7 linked regions of the Macaca mulatta genome follow. The protein of the gene in region 2 interacts with the protein of the main gene of each other region in a pairwise test. Links are inferred from orthologs where the notes say so. Each region holds a gene or a part of one and is shown on either strand. Other genes may lie near its edges.

Region 1 (4,221 bases), on a different chromosome or scaffold from region 2:
CACCTCAGGTCAGGAGTTCAAGACCAGCCTGGCCAACATGGTGAAACCCCATCTCTACTAAAAATACAAAAATTAGCCGGGCGTGGTGGCAGGTGCCTGTAATCCCAGCTGCTGGGAGGTTGAGGGAGGAGAAAATCACTTGAACCCAGGAGGCAGAAGTCGCAGTGAGCCGGAATTGTGCCATTGCACTCTAGCCTGGGAGACAAGAGCGAAACTCCGTCTCAAAAAAAAAAGAAAGAAAGGAAGGAGGGAGGGAGGGAGGGAGGGAGAGAGGAAGGAAGGAAGGAAGGAAGGAAGGAAGGAAGGAAGGAAGGAAGGAAGGAAGGAAGGAAGGAAAAGAAACCCAGAAGAAAAAGATGAATGATGAATGGAACCAAGCCTGGGTTATCCTTGTCTTTAGGCCAACACAGTCAAAAATAGATTATATATGTTTGTCTTTTAATAGAGGAAGAGGCTTACAAAGGCAACAATGCCAGGTCCTAGGAAAGCCATAGTACAGCCTGGCTGGAAGGAGGCTCCCAGCCTCTGTGTCTGGGTAGAAGTAGCCACTGTTCTCCTTGGCCCCTGCAGGATCAGTTTGGCCCAATGTGGCTGGTGCAGGCTGAGGGGTGTTGCCAGTCTGAGTTGGCCGGAGGGAGCTGGGACAGCCTTGGGCTGCAGCAAGACAGCCACAGTGCCAAGGGCCTGGGGCTTGACACGCCCTGCATGGGAGTGGACCTGGGCAGCTGGAGGCCACCTCTGGACTGTGATGATGGCAGCCTCTCCCCTCACTGAGCGCCGAGCATCTGAGGGGTGTCCTGCCTGCATCACCGCCTTGTGGCTTCATCAGTCCCACGAGTTTGTGCCCATTTTACAGATGAGGAGATGGAGACCCAGATAACCAGTCAGAAAGTGGTCGGGCCAGGACTAAGAGTGCAGCGCGCAGTCTCCGTGCCCTGGATCAACAGCTCAAGGAACTGGGGTGCTCCGGAAATGGGGCCAAGGCTGCTGAGCAGGAGGACGCTCAGGGCCTTGCCCTCAGGAAAGGCAATCCCCCACTCGGAGATCGGTCTTGTTGCCGCATTTTATAGATGGGAAAATGAGACTAGAAGAAACCACAAGCGACCCGCCGGCGGACACACGGCAACGTTTTAGGTGCTGGGTCTGGCCGGGCGGCCATCACCGGTCACCGTGGGGAGGAGAAGGAGCCGAGAGACTCGCTCGCGGCCGGGGGGAGGCAGAAGCGCGTCCCGCGGGAGAGGTGGGTTTGAGGAGTGAGCTCCCGGTCCCGCGGGGATGCCAGTGGGTCCAGGGCCCGGGCTGCCAGGCGGGGCGGGGCGGAGCGGGGCGGGGCTCGGCCGGGTAGTGGGGCGGGGCCGGGCGGTGGATTGACGGGCGGGGCCTGGTGGCGGGGCGGGGCCGGGCGGCTGAGAGGGGCGGGGCGGATGCGGGCACAGCGGTCTGGCTAACTCCTGCCAGGCAGTGCCCTTCCCGGAGCGTGCCCTCGCCGCTGGTGAGTGAGAACGGGACGCGGAGGGGGCAGCGGGAAATGGGGGCCCGCACGGCTGCGACTCTGACAGCGCCGCGGGACAGAGGGAAACTGAGGCCGGAGCCGAGGACTGGACACCCGAGGGGGCGGCCCGGGGCAGCACTTGGGGCTCGGCTATCGGGTCAGGGGCGGAGGCGGCGGGCAGCCAGGTCTGGACCTCCGCGGCCGGGGTTCCTGCGCGGGCCGCCTCCGACTGGGGGTTCGGGAGGGGAAACTTGGGCAACTCCGCCACGCCCTGCCCCTGCTTCTCCTGCAGGAAGCGCGGTCGCAGGAGAGGCCGATGCTCCCTCTCCCGCCCATTCCGCGGATGGGCAATCCCAGGCGGAGCTCCCTTCAGGGTCTCAGAATGTCTGGGAGACCTCAGGCAGGATCCTGATCCCCCAAGACACCCCGTTTCATAGTGGAGGAGAACAGCCCAGATCGGGGAAGTTTTTTTTGCCCAAAGCCGGTTAGAGGCCCCCCGGCCCTCAATTCCCAGTGCGGGGCTCAGGTGCGCTGCAGCCTAGACGGGACTTACTCTGAGCCGAGCAGCCTCTGGGACCTGTCTGCTTCCCCTGCCCCTTGCAAAGAAGACGGAGCCCAGGTGGGAGAAGCGGGGGCTTCCTGCTGTGAACACACTGCTGGCCAGGGCAGCTTCCAGAGGCCATGGCCTGGCGTGGGCCTGGAGCCCCTCTGGCCAGCCTGCCAGGGGCCGGCGCTACGGAATACCAGCAGTGTGCCCTGGGCTGGATGGCAGGAGAGACAGGACTTGAGGCTGTCCCAGAATGGACTCAGGCAGGGCGAGGATATTAGGGGAGGTGGTGTACAGGAAGCAGTCGCCCAGCTCGCCTGGCACACAGCAAGCCCTGCCCATGAAGGCCTGCTGCCAGAACGTGGGCGAGGCCCGGCGTCTCTGTGGAGTCGGTGGGGCCCGAGACAGGGCAGCGTGAGGCAGGTTTCCACTGGCGGTGAAAGGGGCTGTGTAGCAAGGGCAGGAGAGCCAGCCTCAGCCCAGCAGGGGAAGGCGGCCCCTGAGTCTCCACCTGGCTGCTGGCAGCCCCATAGGGAGGCTCCGCGGGAATCCTGGGCTCCCAGGGGAGTGCTGGAAACTGGGGGAAACTGAGGCTTACCAAAGAAGCCTTTGTCCAGAGTCATGCAGCTGGCGTGGTGGAGCCAGGGCCTGATCCCAGCCTGCCTCCTCCACTGTGCCCCGAGGGCCACTTTGTTTCCTGGGAGTGTGTCTGTGCATGTGTGCACACACATGTGCTGTGTCCTGTCGTCTGTACAGACTTATGCCTGGCGTGAGGCACCATGTCTGGCTGGATCTACCAGAAAATATTCACAGCAGGTTCTCCAGGTGGGGTGAAGGGCTTGGGCTCACAGGGAGGGAGCCTACATTTACCTTTAGCTTTTTCAGTATTTCAGTTTTGAATCTCTGTTTTGTTTTGTTTCGTTTTTCTTTCTTTCTCTTTTTTTCCTTCTTTTTTTCTTTTTTTTTTTTTGTTTGAGACAGGGTCTTACTCTGGTAGGCAGGCTGGAGTGCAGTGATGCAATCATAGCTCACTGCAGTCTCCTGCAGAACTCCCGGGCTCAAGCGATCCTCCCACCTCAGCCTCCCAAAGTGCTGGGATTACAGGTGTGAGCCACCGTTTCTGGCTTATTTGTGTTTACTTTTGATTGGGCAAACAATGCGTGGATATGCTCTCTTTGTGTAAAACAGTAGTCTTTTTTATTTTATTTTCTTTTTAACCACTGGACCACTAGGGAAGTCATTCTTAATTTCTTCTTTACTTTTATTTATATGTATTTTTGGAGTCGGTGTCTCTCGCTCCATTGCCCAGGCTGGAGTGCAGTGGCTCGAGCTGGGCTCACTGCAACCTCTGCCTCCTGAGTTGAAGTGATTCTCCTGCCTCAGCCTGGCTAATATTTGTACTTTTAGTAGAGACGGGGTTTCACCATGTCGGCCAGGCTGTTTCTTTATCTTTCACTAAAAAAAAAGTTTAACCCCCGAACCTTGAAGGAAAGGAAATGAGTCTTTCTTAACAGAACCAATTCCCCCTGGACACCCACCCTCACCCTACCCTTTGCCAGGCCACTCGATGGCCAGGTTGGCTGTGGATTTTTCCAGACGTGTGGGCTGTTCCACTGGTTACTTTCGTAATGAAAAACGCACACAAAGTCAGGACGATTAGCCATGAGTCATTTTTTAAAAGCCTGAAAACAAGTCTCTGGGACAATGGTGGCTTCATTGGAGAGACAAGGCTCAGGGGAGCTGGGTGCAGCTGGGGGTGGTGGTGGGGATCAGAGAAGGGACACATTCCTTATTCTGTTCCTGGATCGCCTTCTTTTTTTAGTTAGTTAAGTTGTGCTTTTTGTTTGTTCAGTTTTTTTCTTTTTTTTTTTTGAGAGGGAGTCTCGCTCTGTTGCCCAGGTTGGAGTGCAGGGGCGTAATCTCGGTTCACTGCAACCTCCACCTCTTGGGTTCAGTTGATTCTCCTGCCTTAGCCTTCTGAATAGCTGGGACTACAGGCGCCCGCCACCACACCTGGCTAATTTTTGTATTTTTAGCAGAGACAGGATTTCACCATGTTAGCCAGGCTGGTCTCGAACTCCTGACCTGAGGTGATCTGCCTGCCTCAGCCTCCCAAAGTGCTGAGATTACAGGTGTGAGCCACTGTGCCTGGCCTTCTGGGTCACCTATAGAGAGGTCTCCA
Region 2 (4,059 bases):
TTTTGAGGCGGAGTTTCACTCTTGCTGCCCAGGCTGGAGTGCAATGGCACAATCTCGGCTCACCACAACCTCCGCCTCCCAGGTTCAAGCAATTCTCCTGCTTCAGCCTCCTTAGTAGCTGGGATTATACGCATGTGCCACCAGGCCCAGCTAATTTTGTATTTTTAGTAGAGATGGGGTTTCTCCATGTTGGTCAGGCTGGTCTCGAACTCCCGACCTCAGGCGATCCACCCCCACTCGGCCTCCCAAAGTGCTGGGATTACAGGCGTGAGCCACTGCGCCCGGCCTGACTTTTTTGTTTCTAAGAAATATATGTTACATCATTACCAAGTACACACATGTGCGAGCACGCACACACACATAACTGATTTGTTTTTAAATTACCAGGTATTTAACTCCACTGTGTGCTGTGCACTCTGATATTTTCTACCCTTTTTTTTTTTCTGTTTTATTTTTACTTAAAATTCTGGTCGTGACCCACTAAATTGATTTCACAACCCATTAATGAGTCACCACCCACAGTTTAAACAGCACTGAGTCATAGCTGGAAGGATGGAGGCCACCATTCGAACCTAAGTAGTAGGGCTCCAGAGCCTAACCTCTCTGTATAAAGGATGGCTTGGGAAAGGACAGAGCCCCTGAAGTCTCGAGGACAGATGGGGACTGTGCTGCTGAGGGGACTGGAGGCTTCAAGAATGCCACCACCCTGCATCACTCTCTTCCCACATTCCAGCAAAAGAGCACACAAAATTCACTAATATTGCCTTTGGAAAAGAAACTTGTTGGCGTAGACACACGGTTATTCTCTTACTTTGTCCTCACATCAGCCTATGAAGGAAGTAAGAAGGACTGAGAAACTGACTCACGCAGTTTAAGTCATTTGACCAAGGTCACAGAGCCCAGTGTCCTGTTGCCAGGTCCTGGGACTTTTTGACCCCATCCACAGCTCACCCTTGCAGATAACGATGGTGAGGGTGGAGCTGGTGGTAGAGAGAATGGGATGACAGTGGTAATGGTCGTGATGGAAATGATGAGAGTTGGTGTTATGATGTTGGTAGTGGGGAGGTTGGTGATGTTGCTGGTATTAATGGGAATGGGCACAGTAATGGGAGGTCGCAGTGACAACGGTGGCCGTGGTGGGTGCCGCACCACCACAGTAGCACCTGCACCCCCTCCCCAAGCAAAGCTGAATTCCCTCTTCCCCTCACCTTCTCCTTCCCTAGCACTTTCCTGAGCACCTGGACCACTTCACGGAGAACATGGAGGACTTCTCCAACGACCTGTTCAGCAGTTTCTTTGATGACCCTGTGCTGGATGAGAAGAGCCCTCTATTGGACATGGAACTGGACTCCCCTACGCCAGGCATCCAGGCGGAGCACAGCTACTCCCTGAGCGGCGACTCAGCGCCCCAGAGCCCCCTCGTGCCCATCAAGATGGAGGACACCACCCAAGGTAAGAGGTGGAAGAACCTGGAGACAGCACAGGCCCAGAAGGCCCAGGAGGGAGGAAGCTCTGGGGTGACAAGAGAGTATGCCTGCAGCCTGAGACTCCCAGAGGCTCCAAGAGGAGCCACCACAAACCCCTCAGGAGGTGCTGCTCCCTGCCTTTCTGTTCTCCCTCAATTCAAAGCCAGAGCAGCACTTCTCAAAAGGGTTATTTTTGTTGACTTAAGTTAGTGGTTCACAAAGTGTGGTTCCCAGACCAGCAGCATCACCTGGGAATCTGTTAGAAATGCAGATTCTCGGGTTCCACCAAACCTGCTGAATCACAACCCTGTGGGTAGGGCCCAGCCTTCCAGGTGATTCTGATGCACACTCAGGTTTGCAAACTGCTGACTTAGAGGAGACAGGGGTAATTCAACAATGACTATGGGGCTGGGCATGGTGGCTCACACTTGTAATCCCAGCACATTGGGAGGCCGAGGCAGGTGATCACCTGAGGTCAGGAGTTCAAGACCAGCCTGGCCAATACATGGTGAAACCCCATCTCTACTAAGAAAATACAAAAACTAGCTGGGCACGGGGGCGGGTGCCTGTAATCCCAGCTACTTGGGAGGCTAAGGCAGGAGAATTGCTTGAACCCAGGAGGCGGAGGTTGCCATGAGCCAGCCAAGATCGTGCCATTGCACTCTAGCCTGGGTGACAAGAGTGAAACCCCATCTCAAAAAAAAAAATAAATAAAAGAAAAATTATCCAGGTGTGGTGGTGCGCTCCTGTAATCCCGGCTACTTAAGAGACTGAGGCATGAGAACTGCTTGAACCCGGGTGGAGGAGGTGTAGTGAGCGGAGTTCGCACTACTGCATTCCAGCCTGGGCAACAGAGTGGGACTCCTTCTCAAAACATAGTAACAATAATAATAATAACTCGCTGGGTGCAGTTGCTCATGCCTGTAATCCCAGCACTCTGGGAGGCCGAGGTGGGTGGATCACCTGAGGTGAGGAGTTCAAGACCAGCCTGGCGAACATGGTAAAACCCCGTCTCTACAAAAATACAAAATTTACCCCAGCATGATGCCCTCCATCACATGGTGACTCTATTACACACTGCCTGTAATCCCAGCTACTTGGAAGGCTGAGGCAGGAGAATCACTTGAACCCAGGAGGCGGAGATTGCAGTGAGCTGAGATTGCACCATTGCACTCCAGCCCTGGCAACAGAGTGAGACTCCATCTCAAAAAAAAAAAAAAAAAAAAAAAGGCCGGGCGTGGTGGCTCACGCCTGTAATCCCAGCACTTTGGGAGGGCGAGGTGGGCGGATCACAAGGTCAGGAGATCGAGACCATGGTGAAACCCCGTCTCTACTAAAAATAGAAAAAATTAGCCGGGCGCAGGGGCAGGCGCCTGTAGTCCCAGCTACTCGGGAGGCTGAGGCAGGAGAATGGCGTGAACCCGGGAGGCGGAGCTTGCAGTGAGCCGAGATTGCACCACTGCACTCCAGCCTGGGCGACAGAGCAAGACTCCGTCTCAAAAAAAAAAAAAAAAAAAAAAAAGACTGGGTGTGGTGGCTCACGCCTGTAATCCCAGCACTTTCAGAGGCTGAGGTGGGTGGATCATTTGAGGTCAGGAGTTCCAGGCCAGCCTGGTCAACATGGTGAAACCCCGTCTCTACTAAAAATACAAAAATTAGCTGGGCGTGGTGGCGGGCACCTGTAATCCCAGCTACTCCAGAGGATGAGACAGGAGAATCACTTGAACGCAGGAGGCAGAGGTTGCAGTGAGTCGAGATCAAGCCACTGTACTCCAGCCTGGGTGACAGAGCGAGACTCTTGTCTCAATAATAATAATAATACCATCCTGACTAACACAGTGAAACCCTGTCTCTACTAAAAATACAAAAAAAGAAAAAAAAAATTAACCAGGTGTGGTGGTAGGTGCCTGTAATCCCAGCTACTCAGGCGGCTGAGGCAGGAGAATGGTATGAACCCGGGAGGCGGAGCCTGCCGTGAGCTGAGATCGCACCACTGCACTCCAGCCTGGGCAACAGAGCGAGACTTTGTCTCAAAATAATAACAACAATAATAATAATAAGCTGTAGACAAGACTCTAGAACTTCACTGCCTCCTCATACTTGATGTCCTCTGAGACGCTATTTGGGAGAGATTCCTGTACCCTCTTTTATTCCTGAAGGTAGCATTCTCTAAAGCTCCCTTCTCCCCCTAACTCCATCCTTTAAGGCAAAGAGCACCCTGAGTTCTTCCACTCAGGTAATCAGCATTCAAGACCCACATTGTGCCCCACTTAGAAATGGCCCCTTTGGGCATTTCCTCAAATACCGGTGGTTTCAAATCCTGGCTCTGTCGCTTTTGGCTGGGTGATCACAGACATGCCGCTTAACCTCTGCAATCCTCAGTATCTATATCTACAAATGCAAATAACAATAAACATTTCTATAGCACTATCCAGTCTACAGATTGCCTTCATGTTAATTATCACATTTATTTCTCATGACTGACAGGTGAGGTTGTAATCACGTTCATCATAATCCCCATGTGACCGATAAGAAAACTGAGACTTAGCCAGGTGCAATGGCTCATGCCCGTAATCCCAGCACTTTGGGAGGC
Region 3 (4,098 bases), on a different chromosome or scaffold from region 2:
ACTGCGCCCGGCCTCTAAGACCATTTTCCAAATCCTTCCTGGGGATCTCCGTGTGCTAGAGGGACCCCAAGTGAGGGTGACCTTATGTCCCAGTTTGCCCAAAATAGTCCTGGTTTATGGCCCAGGTTAATTCTCATAGTGCCCCTTTCACTCTCAGAAACATCCTGATTTAGATGATAAATTATTTCATGACTACCTCAAACCAACATCAAACTGAACACATACGCACATGCGCCTCACTGTTCTTGGCAGTTAAGGGGACAGTGTCCATATGGTCCCTAAGCGGAGAAACCCCAGGCTTATCTTTGACTCTTCTTTGTGAGACCTATGATGCTACAATTACCTCCTGAATACATCCTCTCCTTTCTGTTCCCACTGCTCATGATCTATTTCAGACACAAATAATTACAACCTACGGTGGGGTCTCCCTGGCTTGAGTCTCTCCCTTCTCCACAGTTCTGCCAGTGATCTTTTCAAAACACAGATTAATGCCTCCTGACTCCCCATGACCTATAGATTGAAATCCAAATCCCTTCATGATTCCTCCTGCTTCATCTCCTGTCCCCACTTTCCTACCCTAGGCTCTGGGAGACTGCTTGTCCCCTGAAAAGCCCACATTCCTACTCATTTCAGTATACTTGTTCCCTTCACTCCCTCCTCCGAGTCTGACCCTTTCTTCTCTTTTCTGCTGCTCTTATTTGACTTTCAGCTCATTCCTGGGACTGATCTCAAGTGTCATCTCCTAGAAGGCCTTTTCTGATTTAGCTTTCCCGTCAAAAATAATCACTCCCCCTCCACTAAACCCTAAGAGGGCTTGGCTTTTAACATTTACTACAATTTGGACTCCCGGCATGTCGGCCATTGCACATTCTGCTTATGTAACCATCTCTCCTGCCTATGCAATAAACTGCTAAGGCCAAGAATGGCATCTCTCGCAGTGCCTGAAACAGTGCCTGCTTCATGGAGGAGTTCATTGTTAACAAGTCTGAATCGAACAAAATTGATAATCCACCTCAAATTTTCCACACCAGGTTGCCCGGCACATCAGCCACTCATTCCTGGGGACACTGGGGACAGACTCAGAGGGCACTGTGACATCAGTTCCACCACAATATCTTGTGGAAGGGATATCTGCTAAGAAGAATTCAGATGTAATTGGCTGCATGCCTCCTTCAGGAGGAAGAGCAAGCATTCCCTCCCCCATCCTCTCCTCCTAAGGGCCCACCGCCCACTCAGGGTCAGACTTCATTCCCCCTCTTCTTTAGGTATCCTCCCCTTACTCTCAGTTTCTCATTTCACAAAGGATCTTGCTGCCTCCAAGCTCCTGACTCATAATTTAGGACAACTAATCTGGTGTTTCATTAGGTGTCATCTTTTGAACTGAGCTTACATCTGCGTCTGGCTTAATAGATAGCTTTTTTAGGCTGGGAGAAGACAGGGAAGAGGCAGATGTGAATCCCAGGCTTGGCCCCTGTCCAGCAGGATGATCTGACTACACCCCTTCCTAGATGCCTTAAAACCCTTCCACTCCGCTTCATGAGGACCTGTTTGGGTCAGAGAAGCCACTCACAGGGTGAAGACACAAACCCCACATTTCAGGATGCTAACAACGGTTTGAGTGCCCAGGGCGGGCTCCCCGACCCACCCAGATCTGCTGTGTCCCGGCAGTGGACTCTTTCCTAGGGAACAGGTGGATTTGGGGGGGGGGGGCGTGCCTTAGGCCCCATACTCATAAAATCCCCTGTCTTCTCCCCTCTAAAACAGAGAAAACAGCAGCCGGTGGGTGCAGGTGGGAAGGGGTGAGGTGGAGGCTGAGAAGAGATTAGGGCTCTCTGGCACCCACCACCTCTTGCAACACGACCCTGAGGCAGTGGGGCAAGTATCCCGATTTCACGAACAAAGAAACTGAGCAACTAATAGAGGAATGGGCCACGCTCCTACTGGGAGGCGGGGCAGGTCTCCCAGCCCTGAGGACTTTTCCTCCCAAGACTTAGTTGTGAAGCCCCTTTTGCCTATCCCAGCCCTTACCCCTCGGGTCAGCCCCAAATCGGAGGCCACCATCTCTCCCACAGGAGCCTGCCCCTCCCACCCCATCCCCTCCTCCCTCCTGTCTTTCCTGCCCACCCATTTGCTCGAGCTGGGGTGGCAGGAAGGGAGGTGCACGACACGGGCATGAAGAGCAAACCCCCTCCTGCTCAGAGCTGCTGCCGCCTGAGCCCAGGGCTGCACCCAGCGCAGGCCTCGTGGCCAGGCCATGGACCCCACAGAGCCCTGGAGTCCCAGCCCGGGGTCAGGGGCCTGGGACTACTCGGGATTGGACGACCTGGAGGAGCTGGAGCTGTGTCCGGCCGGGGACCTGCCCTACGGCTATGTCTACATACCTGCACTCTACCTGGCGGCCTTCGCCATGGGCCTGCTGGGCAACGCCTTCGTGGTGTGGCTGCTGGCCAGGCGGCGCGGCCCACGGCGGCTAGTGGACACCTTCGTGCTGCACTTGGCGGCCGCTGACCTGGGCTTAGTGCTCACACTGCCGCTGTGGGCCGCGGCGGCGGCGCTAGACGGCCGCTGGCCGTTCGGCGAGGGCCTCTGCAAGCTCAGCAGCTTCGCGCTGGCGGGCACGCGCTGCGCGGGCGCACTGCTGCTGGCTGGCATGAGCATGGACCGCTACCTGGCCGTGGTGAAGCTGCTCGAGGCGCGGCCCTTGCGCACCCCGCGCTGCGCGCTGGCCTCGTGCTGCGGCGTCTGGGCCGTGGCGCTGCTGGCTGGCCTGCCCTCCCTGGTCTACCGGGGGCTGCAACCCCTGCCTGGGGGCCACGGCAGCCAGTGCGGGGAGGAGCCCTCCCACACCTTCCAGGGCCTCAGCTTGCTGCTGCTGCTGCTGACCTTCGTGTTGCCCCTGGTCGTCACCCTCTTCTGCTACTGCCGCATCTCGCGCCGCCTGCGCCGGCCGCCGCACGTGGGTCGGGTCCGGAGGAACTCGCTGCGCATCATCTTCGCCATCGAGAGCACGTTCGTGGGCTCCTGGCTGCCCTTCAGCGCCCTGCGGGCCGTCTTCCACCTGGCGCGTCTGGGGGCCCTGCCGCTGCCGTGCCCCCTGCTGCTGGCGCTGCGCTGGGGCCTCACCATCGCCACCTGCCTGGCCTTCGTCAACAGCTGCGCCAACCCGCTCATCTACCTCCTGCTGGACCGCTCATTCCGAGCCCGGGCGCTGGACGCGGCCTGCGGGCGCACCGGCCGCCTGGCGCGAAGGATCAGCTCGGCCTCCTCGCTCTCCAGGGACGACAGTTCCGTGTTCCGTTGCCGGGCCCAGGCCGCGAACACTGCCTCGGCCCCCTGGTAGCTGCCCCGGGCCGCTGGAGGTGGGCGACAGCGGAGCACCGAGAGGAGGGGAGAAGTCCCGGGAGGGGACCCAGATGCGCCTGTTCTGGCGGCAGCAAGCTGCTCCGGCCGGCATCGCATTGCCTCGCGCGCTGCCTGGACTCCCAGGGTCTCCTCCATCAGCTTCCCCGGAACCTCAGAGCAATTGAACTCCCCTAAACCAGGCTCCTGAGACTAGCTGTTCCCTGTCAGCCTGCAGGGTACAAGATAAGTGCTATGAGATGGAGCAGACAGCAACTCGGAGACCCGCAGATTCACCAAGAAGACAGAAGGGAAGGGGATTTCCTTCTCTGCCTCATTGGGAAGAGCACTGACCAGAAATCGAACCCAGACCCCTAAATGCCATTCTGGTTTCTGGCTGTGCTTTCTCCCGTCTCCCACAATAGCTTTTGCTTTCAGAGAAATACCTTCTCCAAGTCAGGCCCTCTGCCCTTCTCACTCACAAAACCCTGGTGTTGAATCTGGTGACACTTCTCCCCCTACGAAGCGGTAGGACTCACCTGGAAGTTGTTCTGGTCTTTCCCTCTCAACAGAAGGTCCTGAAATCGCTCACCAGGCGTTTCTTAAGGTCTCCACCACTCAGCCAGGAACCTCAAAATCTTCTCTGTGAATTCATCTTTCTCAATAAACAGACACTCCTGCTAGCCCTGTCTTCACAGTCGTCTTTGCTTGCGCAGTGGGAGTGAAATGCGTATCAGGAGGCGGGTCGCACACTGGGTG
Region 4 (4,106 bases), on a different chromosome or scaffold from region 2:
GGGTTCTAAGCTATATCTTATGGTCAGTGGAGAATAGGCTACTAACACATTAGACTTTACGCACAGGAATTGTTTCAGGTGTGGTACTATAAGAATATGTCACATGGAATTTCCAATCTGGTTGGCTTGATTACAGAGCAAATTGCTCTTTGAGAAATACACCTTGGACTCCCTACTCAAGAGGCTTCATAAATTCTTTCAGTGAGACGTAGCAGTCTAGGAGAGGCATGTGTAGAATAAGTGTTATGGTTTTTAGGTACTATAATAAGCAAAGTGCCTTTTTGTTTGTTTGGAGCTGCATGAAGCTAGGCTGGAATTCCAGCTTCATAATTTACTACCTTGTATTTTTGAGCAAGATATTTAAACTCAATTTTGGAGTCTTAGTTTTTTGATTTAAGTAATACACAAATAGCATAATATTGGTGCAAGGAAAACAATGAGAATTCATTTCATGCTTTCTCCCCTGACCACAGATACAAACTCCAGAATTCATAGTTATTGTTAGTGTGTTTTATATTTTTGGAGGAAAGCCAAAATTTGGTAGAATATCAATTCTATATTAACGCACTATAGTCAAACTCTACTGTTAAATACAATTTAATTTCTGCAACCACTGATGATCCCAATATTCTATCAAATAATATATAATATTCATTATTTTAGAATATGGATCTGAATTATGAAATAATTTTGCATTCTCGGGTCTTGTATAGTAAGATTTGAATTAACTTCCCAATTATCAACACAATTGTGGGAAAATGTCCTGAGAAAAAACATTTCTAACTATTGTGTAGTCATAATTTTAAAAATAAACGTGACTTGGAAAATGCAAGAACTACTTTTCTTCTTGCGTGGTGCATTAAAGGTGATCAGAATTCTAACGACGCTGGACAGTAGGATTTTCAGAATCAGTTTCCTAGGATTCAAGAAGTCAAACGGCAAACAACCCAAGGTCCTTGGTGGATCTGACCATCTCAGGTATCTCAAGATATCTAAGATGACCTAGCTGGCGCATCTCTGAGATGGGTGGGTCATTTAAAATGTTCTGCTCTTGAGGCTGAGATTTTGTGCGTGTGAATGGTGGGGAGAAAGCAGTGACACATTTTTCTTCCTCTCGTAGTGCCACCCGGCGCAGGGCTACCGCCGCGGCAGCTCCCACGTGGCAAGTTCAGATTGTGCAGCGCCGGGCCGGGGGCGGCGGGCGGGACCGCAGACCCCTCCCTCCGCTCTCCGGCGCTTCCCTCCGGCAGGCCCGGCCGCCCACTTGGTCCTCCACCGCCAGGGGGCGGGCGCGGCTTCCAGGCGGCGGGGGCCCATTGGTCGCGGCGGGGAAGCGTGGGAGGAGGCCCAGCGGCGAGCTGGCTTTCTCCTGGTCACTCGCGGGGGTGAGGGGCAGCAGGAGGAGTCCGAGAGGAAGCGGAGTCGCGAGCTGGAGGCGGCGGTTCCCGTCGGCCTCCGGCAGGACTGAGTGCTGGGAGGCCGGAAGGCGGGCGCGTACGGCGGAGAGGCGGGAGGGAGGCCGGTGAGACGGCTGGGAAGCGAACGGAGCCGGGGCTCAGGTTCGGGGAGGGATGGAGGAGGGCGGGGGAGGGGGACGCCCACCTACGTCCTCAGCCTCCGCGCACTCTGCGGTCGCCGGCCGGGGGCGGGCCCCGGGGCCCGGCCGCGTCGTCACGGCGTGTCCGGCTGTTGGGGAGGGCGCAGGCGGGACCGGGGTCCCGAAGAGCCGCTGGCCGGGGTTCTCCGCCGCCGCCCCGGCATGGGCATCCCCGGGCTCCGCGGAGACGGGGCGGCGTCTGCACCTGGCGCTGGCTCTGGGCGCCCCGGCCTGGGGCGGGCACCTGGGTCGCGTCTTCCCCGGGTTGGCGGTGGCTCAAGCCCCCTGCAGCGTGTAGGCTGAGAGCTCCGAGAGGCGGAGACGGAGTTGAGTGTTGCATTTCAACTCCGTAGGGGGCCGTTTTGACTCACTTGTAAAGTTTTAGTGTCCCCTATACTAGAGGTACTTTTGGTTTTTTACAACCTATCCAGCCCTTTGATGTTCGTTGTCTTTTCTTTTTCTTCCCATTTGTTTGCTACTGCTCTCACAGCTCGGGACCACGGATGATTAGTGGCCCTAGATCTGAGTATGTGAGTGACGGACTGGCAATTTGAGATTGAGAGCTCCAGCTGTTTTGCTTGTGGGAGGGGCGGTTTCCATCATCCTCTACCTTTTTTTTTTTTTTTTAAGAAAAAATGTTATTGCCTATAATACAGAACTGCTGTCTAATTGATAGGACTTTTCCTTTGTTTCTTTTTGGCCAACATGGTGAAACCCCGTCTCTACTAAAAAATACAAAAATTAGCCAGGTGTATGTATCCATATATATGTATGTATCCAATATATATGTATGTATCCATATATATATGTATGTATCCATATATATGTATGTATCCATATATATGTATGTATCCATCCATATATGTATGTATCCATATAGATGTATCCATATATGTATGTATCCATATAGATGTATCCATATGTATGTATCCATATGTATGTATCCATATATGTATGTATCCATATATATGGATACAATGACATAAATAATATTAGATTGCCTACTGTGTACTAGGCACTGCCAAATGGTTTCATGTGCTCATTTATTCTCACAACAGCTCAGTGAATAAGTCCCTTTATCTTCCCCAGTTTTACAGATGGAAATATGAATTCCCAGAGTGTAAAGGTCGATGCTGATAGCAGAGGCCCAGACCCTTTGGACTTGTGGCCAACTTGCAGTTACATTTGTAACTTACAGAGTACCAGCAGATCTCCATTGAATTTAGAAAATAAAAGTTAATCACTTATTGAAAGCCATTTAACAAGAAATTGGCAGAATCAGCAAATCAGCATCCGGTTTTGGTCACTTCATTGACCTGTACCTCTTTCTGGAGGCTGCTAGTAGTCTCTTGTGTTTCTTGGCTGTTTACCAATTAAGTCACAAGGTTTTCAGTTTTATACAGGTGTTAGAAGCTTTGTTTCACAGATTCTTGTAATGTTTTCTCAGCTCAATAAAGACTAGCATTTCTTCATAGGAAGAAATAGGAAGAGTTGGAACCAATAAAAGGAGTTCAGTCCAGCGATTCTCAACCTGAGATTGAGTCCAGCGATTCTCAATCTGAATTACCAATGGGAACTTTGTAAGAAGGACATAGGACAGGTTTCTCAAAATCCTCATTGTAAGGGGCTTCTGTTTCAAAAGGGAGTAAAAATAAGATACTACTGGCTTAAAGTGACTTTAAAAATAAACTTAATGGATGTTTTGTTACAATTACAAAGTTTTAATATGGATTGCTGCCTTAAGCATTGCCAACTAATCTTTCATAATTTATGAAGATACATTAAAAAGGAAAAGGAAATTGGAAAACAGATTCAAAAGGCTAAGAGGCTATGGAATGGCAAAAAGTAATGTTCCCTGTGGGGGTATCGTAAGACTCATATATTTTTCACCATATATTTTAGGTTTTAAATGATTCATCTCATTTTTCAAAAATTTTTATACTCTTAAAAATATTGGAGTGCCTACCATGTGCCAGTAATTATAGATATCATGGATACTCTGAATAAGACAGCCTGGGCACTCACAAAGCTACTTTATTTTTTCTGAGGGAGTTTATGTTGTTTTTTGTTTTTTGTTTTTCACAGTTTTATACCCATTTCTTAAAGCTGAAAGGTACAAGACCCAAATAGCAAAAGATTTTTATGTTAGCTCTGAGCTAGATAGATTTTTGTGAGACCTTGATACAGTAGAAAAGTTTGTCTTGAATTTAGTCCAGAAGCATCTCTGTTATTGGGACCAGATGATCAGGATTTGAAGCATTGGTTCTGTATTTAGTTATTTCAAGAGTGGCATTGACTAAATTACCTAATATCATGCAGTACTTTATTAATCTGATTGAGTAGACTGAACCAGGTAATTTCCCCAAATCTTTAAAGTTTTAAAAGATTTTGTACTTTCTTTTAATGCAATTTGAGACACAATCAGCTGTCTTCCTCTCGGAGGAGGAAATTATGTGTTGTAATACCCCTACGCCTCTCCGGTGTACCCATTAATATTCTTTCATTTTCT
Region 5 (4,247 bases), about 53 Mb from region 2:
GGCAAAACCCCATCTCTACTAAAAACTACAAAAATTAGCCGGGCGCGGTAGCAGGCGCCTGTAATCCCAGCTACTCGGGAGGCTGAGGCAGGAGAATCGCTTGAACCCTGGAGGCGGAGGATGCGGTGAGCCGAGATCGTATCTATTTTCACAGGTTTGTTTTTTGTTGTTGTTGTTGTTGTTTTAGACGGAGTTTCGCTCTTGTCGCCCAGGCTTGAGTGCAGTGGCGCGATCTCGGCTCCCTGCAACCTCCGCCTCCCGGGTTCAGGTTCAAGCGATTCTCCTGCCTCACCCTCCCAAGTAGCTGGGATTACAGGCGCCCGCCACCGCGCCCGGCTAATTTTTGTATTTTCAGTAGAGACGGGGTTTCGCCATGTTGGCCAGGCTGGTGTCAAACCCCTGACCCTAGGTGATCCGCCCGCCTCGGCCTCCTAAAGTGCTGGGATTACAGGCGTGAGCCACCCGGCCCTCACAGGGGTTTTATGAGGATTAAATAAATGAGATAACATAAAAAGTAAGAGTGCCTGGGACATACTGCGTGCTCAGAATGTGTTATTGCTAAGGATTTAAGTGGAAAAGTGCGATGTTAGCTGTGACTAGCTTAGAGGTCCTCCACCCGCTGCAGATGCTCTGACTACCCCCGTGCCCTTGCAGGAGAGATGCTTGGTCTCTTCACCCTCCTTTCCCGTTGGGGTAGATGGTCTTTGCAAAGGGAGCCAGGGGTCCCCCTCAAGTTCTTTTATGGGTCAGTCATGGTCAGGGTAGGGAGGGAACTCTGGCAGTTGGTTTTTGGGGATCAGTCCTCTCATTGTGGAGAGACCTAAGGCTGGTGGCCGGAGATCCTCTTTCTGCGCTGTACACAGGACAGGGCGCCCTCTCCTGAACAAAGGCGGGAACAGCACTAGGCCAGACTTTCTGGGATGTGCCTTACCGGCTCTCATTGCCTGCAAAGGTGCTATGACCATTGCTGAAATGTCCCCAACCATCCTGGCGAGCAAAGTTTGGGGGAGGGGCGCTAAGGCTGGGAGGAAACTGGCTTAATGTTTCAGAAGGGCGAGGCTGGATTATTCGGTTAGAATGGAGGTGCGGGGCAGGAGAGACGGGCGGATGAGAAAGAAATCCGGCCCCTGTTGAATTAATTTTGTGTTCTTTCAACAGGTGATGGAACGCAGCTGAGCGGTAAGGCGACAAGGTGGCTTATCTAACATGCTAAACTCAGGTATCCAGAGCTCTTACGGCTGCCCGCACGCAGCCGAAATTAATGGGGGCAGTCCCGGGCTATAAAGCATAGTTTGAGGATACACCAGATTGAGGGGCAGAGCCACGGGTCGGGGTCTCCAGAAGCGGGGAGGAGCCACCGGAGGATCTAGGCGCAGTTTCCTCTCTAAGTTCCGCCCCGAGAGCGCCGGCCCCGCCCCCGCCGTTCGCGCTCTGACCAGCCCGCAGAGTCAGCCCCCGACCCCGGGCCGCCCGGGCCCCAGGGTTCCGCCGGCAATCTGGCCACCACCGCGTGGGTGAGTATGGGCATGGGTGTGCTGGGCTGCCGGGCAGCCCCACTCAGGGGAGCTTGGCCGCGCGGTCCGGCCTCTGCAGGGCCGGGCCCCACGCTCTGGGAGTCCTGGTGCCTGCCCTGCTATCGCACACACTCTGTTTCCCAGGAACTGCTGCTGTCTGGACTTGCCGAGCTGGCCCCCTTCTTCTCCCTCCCCAGCATGGGGCCGGGTGTGCAGGGGTTGAGCTTTCCCTTCTTTATTCCACGGGGCCTCCTGGTCAGGAGCCCTAGGTGGGGAGGATGGGGCCCCAGGGTTGGAACCCCATAGACTAGTTTTGAATGGCAGCTCTGCCATTTATTAGCCTTGGCCTTGAGTGTTTTGAACCTCCCTGAGCCTCAGTTTCCTCATCTGTAAAATGGAAATATACAGGCTGTAGCACCTACCTCATAGAATTATGGTGAGGATTAAAAGAGACAATGTGTATCAAGTACAGAGCAGGGAGCCTAGTATTCCGTAGGCACTCAGTAAATGTGGGTTCAGACTCCAGGCTGAGAACATCTCTAGGGACTTTGGAGCTGAGGTAGCTCCAAAGAAAGCGATTTTCAGCTAAGTAGTACCTGTGAGGAATGTAGAGCTGTCTGCAGACTGAACAATTGCCCTTCAGCTCCACCGTGAGGTGTGGAGTAGAATGACCAAGTTGAAGGACCTTAGAGGTAATCTAAACCCTGTGATTCCCATGTTGCCGAACTGTGGAAACAGATCTAGAGTGGTTAAGTGGCTTGCCAAAGGTCACACAGCTAAATGGGAGGCCAGGCATACCTCCAAGAATTGGAATGGACTGTCCCTTGAACCTCCTCATCAACTCCTGATTTGGGCAGTGCCTCTTCATTCCCTGAAGATCTAGTTTTCAATTTGGGAATCCTAGTGGTTCCTCAGAGATCTAGAGCTGCAAGCTTCAGGGATGGATGTTGGGAGGGAAGACTAGTGCTACTGCAACTTCAGAGTCTAGTTTTGGGCTGAGTGAGGAAGATGTTCCCCATCTAGGGCCTTAAGGGACTCAGAGTCCATTTAGGGATGATCCAGGGAATTTTTTTTTTTTTTTTTTTTTTTTTTTTCTGGGAGGGTCACCAGAGCCACTTCCAGCTCCCTGGGGAGATCCCTGATGCTCCTAAAAGGGAGATAGGAACTTGAGCAATTGGAGCAGGCTGCCTGATCAGGCCTGGCAGCTGGGGGAAAATGGGTGAGGATGTGGAGGCGTAGCCACCTGGCTCGTTCTGTAATGCTAGGATGCCAACCTAACTGAGATCAAGGTTCTTTTTGAGGGTGGGACTAAAGGGAGAGTCTTGTGGGTGGGGCCCGGAAGAGTTGGGACTTGATTTGACAAGGCCTTTGAGCCCAGAAGGGTATATTCGTTATGTGTCTGGAGCCAGCCCTAGCTTGGCAACAAGCAGCCAGCGTTCCAGGGATGGCTTCTCTCCAACTCAGCATAGGGCTTTGAGGAAGAACCTTTCTCTCTCTCTGAGTATCTTGGTTTCTCTATCTTTACAGTGGGAATAGGGCTAACTGCCTCATCTATGTAGAATTTGGTTTTTCCTTTTTTTCCTCCTGTGAACAGGCGCCTCTTCTGCCTCTCTCACTCCAGTCCTAACCTGACCTTTCTGTCTCAAGCTCAGACCCAGAGAGGAAGGGGTCAAGGAAGGCCAGAGTTGCAGTGTGTAACTCTTTGTGGGTCCCACATGTATCTGTTATGTGATCCTGAGAAGATTCCTGCCCCAACTTTCCCTTCTGTACACTGTGGGGAGCTGAGCTAGGATTGTTGGTATACACTTATTTGTTATAGTTCCTGACCTTAGCTACCCTTATCTAAGGGGGAAATCACAGTCCCCAGGAACCCTCATCTGTTCACAGGAGGGTGGTGTGGACAGCCCCCTGGGCACTGGGGAGCCTCCAGAAGCTGACCAAGCAGCTCTCTCCAGCAAACAGCAAGCCCAGGCTAGCACCAGACCTGATTCTGCAAAGCCTTTCATTCTCGGGGCACGTGAGAGAGCAGGTTGGGACAAGCAGAGGGCTCGGGGTTCTGTCCGCTTCCATGGAATCCCTGCCGCTGTGGACTGCGGTGCAGGCACACAGAGCACACAGAGCCTGGGAAGGGACTGAAGGTGCGGGAGGGCCCTGGGCCAGTGGGGAAGCAATGAGAGCTGATGAGAGGCCTTGAAGCCTGGAGGCTGGGCCTGAGGCTCAAAGGCCTGGGGGAGGAGATGGGCCATTCCATCCACTGGTAGGTTTTAGGGTTGGTTCTTGAAATAAGTAGAGACACTTAAAGCAACTTCTCTAGTCCTAGGCCTGTCAAGCTAGGCAGAGAGGAGTGAGGAGAAGCTCTCCCAATCCATTCAAGCTTTATCCTAGCACAGATTTGGTTCATTGTCTTCCCGCTGAAATTGAGGTGGAATGTTGTCTTTCAATTCTGAGTCAGTCTTCCTCATCCAGGGCAGGAGCTATCCAAGTTTAGGCAACTTCCTTCTCATACTCCCCACCCCATGGCACACAGCTAATTTTAGGACTGAGCACAAGGGCTGACTTCATCACTGAGTCCCAGCCTTGCTGCCTGGGGCCCTGACAGCATGCCACTCCATCCCCAGGTCTGACAAGATGTACCAGGTCCCACTGCCACTGGATCGGGATGGGACCCTGGTACGGCTCCGCTTCACCGTGGTGGCCCTGGTCACAGTCTGCTGTCCACTTGTCGCCTTCCTC
Region 6 (4,014 bases), on a different chromosome or scaffold from region 2:
TTTTTGTGAGACAGAGTCTCGCTCTGTCACCCAGGCTGGAGTGCAGTGTCGTGAACTTGGCTCACGGCAACCTTTGCCTCCCGGGTTCAAGTGATTCTCCTGCTTCAGCCTCCTGAGTAGGTGGGATTACAGGTTTCCACCACCATGCCTGGCTAATTTTTCTATTTTTTTAGTAGAGACAGGGTTTCACCATATTGGCCAGGCTGATCTTGAACTCCTGACCTCAAGTGATCGACCTGCCTCGGCCTCCTAAACTGCTGGGATTACAGGTATGAGCCACCAGGCCCAGCCAAGATCAGGTGACATTTGAACAGAGAACTGGAGGAGGTGATGGGGGAATCACGTGGATATTTTGGAGAAGAATTGTACAGGGAACAGTGTGCAAAGGCCCTGGTGGTAACCAATATAGATGGAGTAGGAGGGAGAGTAGCAGGGGATGAAGTCAGAGGAGTGGCAGAAGGTCAGAGGACAGAGGGTCTTGTAGACCATTATAAAGATTTCGGCTTTTACCCTTAGTGAGATGGGAAGTCATTGGAGGCTCTTGAGGAGATAATACGGAAGCTGTAGAGAGGTTAAATAGCTTTTCCAAGGTAAAACAGCTTGAGTGGCAGAAGGTAGGGAGTTAAGCGCCAAGGCTGAAGTTCTTAACCCTATGCTGCATTTGGGCATTGCTCTCCTGTGACTTCAAAGAAACTGGGACACTGGGAAGTTATGCGGCTTGCCTAAGGCCACACAGCTGGTAAGTGACAGGGGCGGGATTGCGCCTTAATCTGTCTGCAGCCCGACTCCAAGTTCTTTACACCACACCGCCTCCCTCAGGTGTCTGGACCATACTGGCTTCTCTTGCATGGAGGTCACTGAAGTGGGAGAGGAGGCAAACTGAGGAGACCGTCTCGGCTTCGGGCGGCGGTGCTGTTCCTTAGGAAGCTCCAGCCCTTGGCTCTACCGGACTGCGGGCATCTTTCCCGAGCAAGGCACGGAAGAAAAGAAAATTGGCCTTTATTTCGGGGTGGCCCAGCAGGCATCCAAGAGCCAGAGGAGCAGGTGTCACGGGAGAGCGGCGAGCAAGGCCAGGCCAGGAGGAGCAACCGCAGCCGCCCACGGTCGTCCCTTCCTGACCCACCCCAGGTGTCCGGAGTTCCGCGCCCGGGTAGGGGAAGGAGGGCGGACGGGGCGGGGTTTTGGCGCCGCGCCCCCGTCACGTGACGAAGCCATCATGGCGGCGGCCAGAGGCCTGCCCGGCTCCCGGAAGCAGGCTGTGAGGGGCGGGAGCGCTGCTGGAACCCGAGCTGGAGCCGCAGCCACAGCGGGGAGGGTGGCCGGGCGGCCTGGAGCCGGACGTGTCCGGGGTGTCCCCGCAGACCGGGACAGCAGGTGAGACGGAGTCTGGGCGAGGTGCAAGCGGATGTGGCATCGCTGGGCAGGGGCTAGGGGGCGCAGTGGGGCGCCAGTGACCTGGAGGAGTGGGCATCTGAGATGCACACGCATGACCCTGAAACAACTCGAGAGGCCTGCGCGGGTGGGAGGGATGCCCGGGACAGAGGATGAGACACTGAGGGCAAAAAGGGGCTCCCCAGCGAGGATGGGAGGTAATAGAAGGACGAGTGCGGGAGGTGCTGTGGGAAAGGGCAGTAGAATTTGGGGGACCGGGATTATTGGAAGGGACTCCCTCTTTACAGGCAAGGATGGGGTGAGTGCTCAGTCCTCTCCCCTGTCCTCTTACCCCTCCCTGCCCCACAGTGTCCTAGGAGACAGCTCTGGCGGGGCCACTCTTCCCACCCACCCAACTGGTCCCTCCGGTCTGAGATCTTGGGGAGTGGAGTTGACGGGGTTGGGTGGAGCTGCCTTCTGCTTAAGACAGTCGGCCCCTTGACCGTGCTGCCCGAAGGATGGATATGACTCTGACCCCCACCTCTCTTCCCAGGTCGTCGGGGGCCCACCATGCTGGTGACTGCCTACCTTGCTTTTGTAGGCCTCCTGGCCTCCTGCCTGGGGCTGGAACTGTCAAGGTGCCGGGCTAAGCCCCCTGGAAGGGCCTGCAGCAATCCCTCCTTCCTTCGGTTTCAACTGGACTTCTATCAAGTCTACTTCCTGGCCCTGGCAGCTGACTGGCTCCAGGCCCCCTACCTCTATAAACTCTACCAGCATTACTACTTCCTGGAAGGTCAAATTGCCATCCTGTATGTCTGTGGCCTTGCCTCTACAGTCCTCTTTGGCCTGGTGGCCTCCTCCCTTGTGGATTGGCTGGGTCGCAAGAATTCTTGTGTGCTCTTCTCTCTCACTTACTCACTATGCTGCTTAACCAAACTCTCTCAAGACTACTTTGTGCTGCTAGTGGGCCGAGCACTTGGTGGGCTGTCTACAGCCCTGCTCTTCTCAGCCTTCGAGGCCTGGTACATCCATGAGCACGTGGAACGGCATGACTTCCCTGCCGAGTGGATCCCAGCTACCTTTGCTCGAGCTGCCTTCTGGAACCATGTGCTGGCTGTAGTGGCAGGTGTGACAGCTGAGGCTGTAGCAAGCTGGATAGGGCTGGGGCCTGTAGCGCCCTTTGTGGCTGCCATCCCTCTCCTGGCTCTGGCAGGGGCCTTGGCCCTTCGAAACTGGGGGGAGAACTATGACCGGCAGCGTGCCTTCTCAAGGACCTGTGCTGGAGGCCTGCGCTGCCTCCTTTCGGACCGCCGCGTGCTGCTGTTGGGCACCATACAAGCTCTATTTGAGAGTGTCATCTTCATCTTTGTCTTCCTCTGGACACCTGTGCTGGACCCACATGGCGCCCCTCTGGGCATTGTCTTCTCCAGCTTCATGGCAGCCAGCCTGCTTGGCTCTTCCCTGTACCGTATTGCCACCTCCAAGAGGTACCACCTTCAGCCCATGCACCTGCTGTCCCTTGCTGTGCTCATCGTCGTCTTCTCTCTCTTCATGTTGACTTTCTCTACCAGTCCAGGCCAGGAGAGTCCAGTGGAGTCCTTCATAGCCTTTCTACTTATTGAGTTGGCTTGTGGACTATACTTTCCCAGCATGAGCTTCCTACGGAGAAAGGTGATCCCTGAGACAGAGCAGGCTGGTGTACTCAACTGGTTCCGGGTACCTCTGCACTTACTGGCTTGCCTAGGGCTCCTTGTCCTCCATGACAGTGATAGAAAAACAGGTACTCGGAACATGTTCAGCATTTGCTCTGCTGTCATGGTGATGGCTCTGCTGGCGGTGGTGGGACTCTTCACCGTGGTAAGGCATGATGCTGAGCTGCGGGTACCCTCACCTACTGAGGAGCCCTATGCCCCTGAGCTGTAACCCCATGCCAGGACAGGATAGCTGGGACAGACTCTTGAATTCCAGCTATCCAGGATTGTACAGATCTCTCTGTGACTGACTTTGTGACTCTGTCCTGTGGTTTCTCCTGCCACTGCTTTGTGTTTGGGAGGACATGATGGGGGTGATGGACTGGAAAGAAGGTGCCAAAAGTTCCCTCTGTGTTACTCCCATTTAGAAAATAAACACTTTTAAATGATCATTGATTTGATTTACTCATCCTTACCTGTAGCCTTCTCAGTGGTTTCTGGCGAGTGGGCAGCTAGAGGTTTTTTGTTTTTTGTTTTTTCATTTTTTTATTTTTTGAGACGGAGTCTTGCTCTGTCGCCCAAGCTGGAGTGCAATGGTGCAATCTTGGCTCACTGCAACCTCCGCCTCCCAGGTTCAAGTGATTCTCCTGCTTCAGCCTCCCAAGTAGCTGGGATTACATGTGCCTGCTACCATGCCCAGCTAATTTTTTTTTTTTTTTAGTAGAGATGGGGTTTCACCGTGTTGACCAGGCTGATCTTGAACTCCTGATTTCAGGTGATCCACCCACCTCGGCATCCCAAAATGTTGGGATTACAGGCGTGAACCACCACGCCAGGCCCAGCTAGAGGTTTTGAGGTGGGATTATCAGCAAAAGTTTTCTATTTCTAACCTCTCCAAGGCTGTCTCCAGTTCAGACTGAGAACTATGGAACTGTTCTCAGCAGAGCTGTGT
Region 7 (4,224 bases), on a different chromosome or scaffold from region 2:
GGCAGATTTTTGCATTTGTTTTGCTCAAGTATTTATGGGGCCAACTAATATGTTTAGCAACGTTGTGTGTGGGAGCAGTAGAGGAACTGAGAAGTTTACAAACTGTAAGAGATCCCCCAAAGAGTCCACAGGTCTGAGGCAGCAGCACCTGGGAATCTCTGGGTTCCAGTTAGTCCTTCCTGACTGACTCGTTACAGCAGTGTCCAGACAAGGAGATGTCAGGTCCTGGGGCAGGGTTCCCGTCAGGTGGGATGGTTTAGCCCCGCATCTGCTTTCAAAGATCCCGAGATTGGCCGGGCGCGGTGGCTCAAGCCTGTAATCCCAGCACTTTGGGAGGCCGAGACGGGCGGATCACGAGGTCAGGAGATCGAGACCATCCTGGCTAACACGGTGAAACCCCGTCTCTACTAAAAATACAAGAAAATTAGCCGGGCGAGGTGGCGGGCGCCTGTAGTCCCAGCTACTCGGGAGGCTGAGGCAGGAGAATGGCGTGAACCCGGGGGGGCGGAGCTTGCAGTGAGCCGAGATCGGGCCACTGCACTCCAGCCTGGGGCACAGAGCAAGACTCCGTCTCAAAAAAAAAAAAAAAAAAAAAAAAAAGATCCCGAGATTATGCCGTCGCAGCGGACAGGACAAGAGTGGGTGCGTGGCAGGGACTGAGTCTGAGGCCTGGAGGCCCTGTCTGAAACAGGGCTGTCGCTGTCGCAGGGCCCTCTCTCCTTCAAGCAGTTATCATACAGCTATTCCCCTTCCTTGCGTTCAGACCCTCTCCTCTAACAGCCTGCACCTGCAAGCAGGGACCTCCGTGGCAGCCGGGACAGCGTGTCTGTCTCGGCCTCCCCAAAGTACCCCGGAGTCTGAATTGGGCGGGGGATGGTGCGGGAGCAGCGCCTGACTCCGAGGAGGACCCGGGCGGCGTCTCCCGCCCCTCGGTGACCTTATGGGCCAAGGCTGTGAAGAGCAGGCGGGGCGACGCGGAGGGGCCGGGCGCTAGAGGCCCGCAAACAGCGCGGCGGTCCCCGGCAGGAGACGCGGCCTGGCGGGCCGGGACGGCGGCGCCGGGCGCCTACGCGCGGTGCTCTGGGAGTTGTAGGCACTTTCCTCTTCTCTCTCCTTCAGCTGGCTGGCTCTCGAAACCCAAGGACCTACCGGTGGGTGGGCGCCTGTGACTCCCAGGCTGCGAACGCCGGGAACTCAGTTTCTTCAAAAATGTCTGAACCCAGGACTGCTCCTGGGGGTCCTCGCGCCCTCGCAGAAGGACTACGGGCCCCGGCGACCCCGGGGGCGGGGCTTCTGGCGCGCTGCCTTGTGGGCGCGGTAGTTCCGCCAGGCCCGGCTTCCGCCTGCCGAGCGTCCCGGGACAGCGGGCCGGACTACACTTCCCGTCGGCCCGCCTGCTCTCCCGATGCCGCCTTGGCGCGAGACGTTGGCAAGCGGAGTGTCTCCAAGATGGCCGCTTGGGGAAGGAGGCGTCTTGGCCCGGGCAGCAGTGGCGGCAGCGCCCGAGAGAGGTGAGATCCAAGGGCTTGTTGCCCACGGTGCAGGCGGCTCAGGGGCCGGAGAGCCCAGCGCGGCCTCCGGGGGCTGCAGCAGCCTTCCTGCCCTGGTATCCCCGGGCTCCCCCGACCCCCGCCTGGCATACGGGGTTCCAGTTCCGGAGGATCCGGGATCCGGGTAGGAGCGAGGTCGAAGGCTTCGGCGGAGAGCTTAGGGGAAGGGGCGTTAGCCGGGCTGGGTAAGGTGGGCAGCGGTCATGCGGGGTGGGGCTCGAGGCCGGGCCGTGCGGAGAGGAACTGGCGCCCAGCGCAGGCCTCAGGGACCCGCCTAGCCGCGGGCTGATCGGCACCCTTCCCGCTTGGCCGCGCGCGTGGCCATCTCGCCCGCGGCCCCCGACGTGGCGAGGAAGGCAGGGCCCCTGGAGAGAGAAAGAAGGTGAAGCCTTCACAGAGCAGGCCGGCTGCGGCAGGGGTAGTTTGATCTGCACGTTTACCAGGGAGCTTTAGCTCCCACCACATGTGTCTCTTCCGGGCCCGGAGCCGTCCACTTCCTCGAGGGGCGATTCTGGAGACTTTTGGATGGTTCTGTGCAAGCGCTCCTGCCGTGGAAGTCAATTAAAGTGACCTTTCCTAATGAATGGTGTGTGGGTAGGGAGCTAGGAGCGTGTTTCTTCCAACAGAGACCTCCATTTGAGTAACTGATTTCTAGAAGATGAGATTGGAGTAGTTTCCGTGTTACATGTTCAAGTTGCAGTTTTTGCTTCTGGGAAGCAGTTTCAGCTAGTGGAAGCCACTAGAAGCTGTTCAGCCGCTAGAAGTTTTGGGAGAGGATGTATATTGGTGGAGCCACCTGGATGAACTATCCGCTAAAGCTTGATTGTTAACAGCAGCGGTCAGCAAAAAAGGAAAGTTTTGGTTTTGCTGTTGTTGTTTTTTTCCCCGTCTCTTTGGTGAAGATTGTCTAACCAGAAAATTTCTCTGCCTGTCAACTACTCTGCATTATTCCTTTTCTATGACTGATTCCATCCCGTGTTCATTGCTATTGCTTGCAGATGGCTTTCCCAGCTGGGAAGATTCTTCCTGTTTGGCAGTTGTGATAGAGTCCGTTAGCTTGCTTGCACTTTATTCTTGAGCCCAGTTAGCCAACGTCGCCCATTCTGCATTTCCTCTTCCTTGGAAAAGCAGTGGTAAACACACTTTTGTTTTTTTAACTCCCGCCTGGTATTTCTTAGATTGGACCATTTAAATAAGTTACCTCAGTGGTTTTCAGATGCCCTTAAAAACTAGCAAACATTTTCAAGATATTCAATGCAAACAGTAATAGGAAATAACCTGTTTAGAAAACAAAGTTTTAGAAACGTTCGCCCTCTTGTTGGACTAAAAGCAACTGAAGAGAGCCTTATAGGGATGCCTCAGGCAGGGAACAGGAGCCTTGCCAGCACAGGTTAAGCTTTTATTGATCTAAGAAAATAGATCCTGAGAATTGTTTTTGCTTTGGCTTGAGACAAGTATTTATTCAAAATGGAGTTGGCAAATCAGCAGTGCATCAGCTGGAGCCAGTGCTTGACTGTTGAACCTCAACAGTTTTTAAGAGAATTTAAATTAGTTGCCAACAGATTTCACATAAAACGCTCCCTGAAAAGCTGGGTAGTGGCTGACTCTTTTTGGTTAGGACAGTGCTCTCCAGTTCTTGGTTCCTCACCTGACAGCTTGACTCAATCACCTGACAGCTTGACTCAATGCATTTACCTGCTTGGTCTCAGGTTGCACCTTTGGCCTGGAACTGAAGGCTCCACTCATACACGCAGATGTTGTGTGTCAGCAGGAATGTGGCATTTGGTTTTGTGGTTTGGATGTCACCATCAACTCTCCTAGATAATGTGGTGTGGGTGGAGACTACCTCTCTGTTTGCTTTTGCTGTAAACCCCTAGCCAGGTTCTGTAGGAAAAGTCATTTGCCCGAGCCCAGCTTCCCTAAGCTCTTTCCATGCTGAGCAGGGGATGGAAACATAACCCGCTGTGTGGCTAGCGAGCTGACTTCTGGGCATCCCTCCATTCCTGCTCAGTTGGTGATGACTGTTCAGGTGGGGCAGGGCGGATTAGCTGATGGCCCAGCACCCTAGATTAGGAGATCTGAGTGTATTATTGGCTCTTATGACTGAAGTAGGCTGTTTATGGCTCTCTTAAATGACTTTGTTCCATGTCACATTTGTGCTGACTCAAATCTCAGCTCCATATTGTACGAGTGCTCTCTCCCGTTGCTGCTCACACCTGGTTAGCATCCGCTTTTGCTGAAGCTGAGGGAAACAGTGTCTGGTTTGGACAAGGGGCTAGAACAGAGCGACGCTTTGGGCAAACTTGCCAGATTTGCCAGCGGCTACCAACTCTGAAGCACGCACTGTACTTAAAGGCCTCACCCAGTGCCAGATTGCCCACAGTATTACTGCCAGCGCTGTGTGTTGGATGGTCCAGCTTAGCGCGTGGTAGCGTGTGGGTTCTTGCTTTACCTTGTTGAGTCTAGAACCACAGCTCTAGAATTAGTGCTGAATTAACACAGCAGTTCAGTAGTCACCAGCCACATGTGGCGATTACATTTAAATTCATTAAAATGAAATAAAATGAAGAATTCAGCTCCTCAGTCTCACTAGCCACATTTCAAAGGCTCAATAGCCACTTCTGGCTCGTGGCTACCATATTGGACAGCACAGGTGGAGGACATTTCCATCACT

The links.
Region 1: the proteins of CREB3L1 (region 2) and TSPO interact in binary tests that used the Homo sapiens proteins (3 or more experiments, as listed by UniProt). The two-hybrid records come from large-scale screens. The link is inferred for Macaca mulatta from reciprocal best matches to the Homo sapiens genes CREB3L1 and TSPO.
Region 3: the proteins of CREB3L1 (region 2) and GPR25 interact in binary tests that used the Homo sapiens proteins (3 or more experiments, as listed by UniProt). The two-hybrid records come from large-scale screens. The link is inferred for Macaca mulatta from reciprocal best matches to the Homo sapiens genes CREB3L1 and GPR25.
Region 4: the proteins of CREB3L1 (region 2) and FAM3C interact in binary tests that used the Homo sapiens proteins (3 or more experiments, as listed by UniProt). The two-hybrid records come from large-scale screens. The link is inferred for Macaca mulatta from reciprocal best matches to the Homo sapiens genes CREB3L1 and FAM3C.
Region 5: the proteins of CREB3L1 (region 2) and PGAP2 interact in binary tests that used the Homo sapiens proteins (3 or more experiments, as listed by UniProt). The two-hybrid records come from large-scale screens. The link is inferred for Macaca mulatta from reciprocal best matches to the Homo sapiens genes CREB3L1 and PGAP2.
Region 6: the proteins of CREB3L1 (region 2) and MFSD5 interact in binary tests that used the Homo sapiens proteins (3 or more experiments, as listed by UniProt). The two-hybrid records come from large-scale screens. The link is inferred for Macaca mulatta from reciprocal best matches to the Homo sapiens genes CREB3L1 and SLC61A1.
Region 7: the proteins of CREB3L1 (region 2) and TMEM11 interact in binary tests that used the Homo sapiens proteins (3 or more experiments, as listed by UniProt). The two-hybrid records come from large-scale screens. The link is inferred for Macaca mulatta from reciprocal best matches to the Homo sapiens genes CREB3L1 and TMEM11.

The regions. Positions count from the first base shown.
Region 1 is NC_133415.1:8,322,557-8,326,777, reverse strand, and holds the start of TSPO (translocator protein), read left to right. Parts: upstream 1-1,421; 5' UTR 1,422-1,492; intron 1,493-1,815; exon of another isoform or gene 1,816-2,111; intron 2,112-3,689; exon of another isoform or gene 3,690-4,221. UniProt on the Homo sapiens protein: Can bind protoporphyrin IX and may play a role in the transport of porphyrins and heme. Promotes the transport of cholesterol across mitochondrial membranes and may play a role in lipid metabolism, but its precise physiological role is controversial.
Region 2 is NC_133419.1:19,310,179-19,314,237, reverse strand, and holds the start of CREB3L1 (cyclic AMP-responsive element-binding protein 3-like protein 1), read left to right. Parts: upstream 1-1,259; coding exon 1,260-1,452; intron 1,453-4,059.
Region 3 is NC_133406.1:58,519,969-58,524,066, forward strand, and holds GPR25 (putative G-protein coupled receptor 25), read left to right. Parts: upstream 1-1,298; 5' UTR 1,299-2,254; coding exon 2,255-3,340; 3' UTR 3,341-4,022; downstream 4,023-4,098. UniProt on the Homo sapiens protein: Orphan receptor.
Region 4 is NC_133408.1:161,164,065-161,168,170, reverse strand, and holds the start of FAM3C (protein FAM3C), read left to right. Parts: upstream 1-1,306; 5' UTR 1,307-1,522; exon of another isoform or gene 1,523-1,559; intron 1,560-4,106. UniProt on the Homo sapiens protein: May be involved in retinal laminar formation. Promotes epithelial to mesenchymal transition.
Region 5 is NC_133419.1:71,992,386-71,996,632, reverse strand, and holds the start of PGAP2 (acyltransferase PGAP2), read left to right. Parts: upstream 1-1,447; 5' UTR 1,448-1,514; intron 1,515-3,381; exon of another isoform or gene 3,382-3,543; intron 3,544-4,113; exon of another isoform or gene 4,114-4,132; coding exon of another isoform or gene 4,133-4,142; coding exon 4,143-4,247.
Region 6 is NC_133416.1:60,393,560-60,397,573, forward strand, and holds MFSD5 (molybdate-anion transporter precursor), read left to right. Parts: upstream 1-1,282; 5' UTR 1,283-1,374; exon of another isoform or gene 1,375-1,405; coding exon of another isoform or gene 1,406-1,589; intron 1,590-1,924; coding exon of another isoform or gene 1,925-1,941; coding exon 1,942-3,294; 3' UTR 3,295-3,514; downstream 3,515-4,014. UniProt on the Homo sapiens protein: Mediates high-affinity intracellular uptake of the rare oligo-element molybdenum.
Region 7 is NC_133421.1:22,102,750-22,106,973, reverse strand, and holds the start of TMEM11 (transmembrane protein 11, mitochondrial), read left to right. Parts: upstream 1-1,424; 5' UTR 1,425-1,449; coding exon 1,450-1,511; intron 1,512-4,224. UniProt on the Homo sapiens protein: Plays a role in mitochondrial morphogenesis.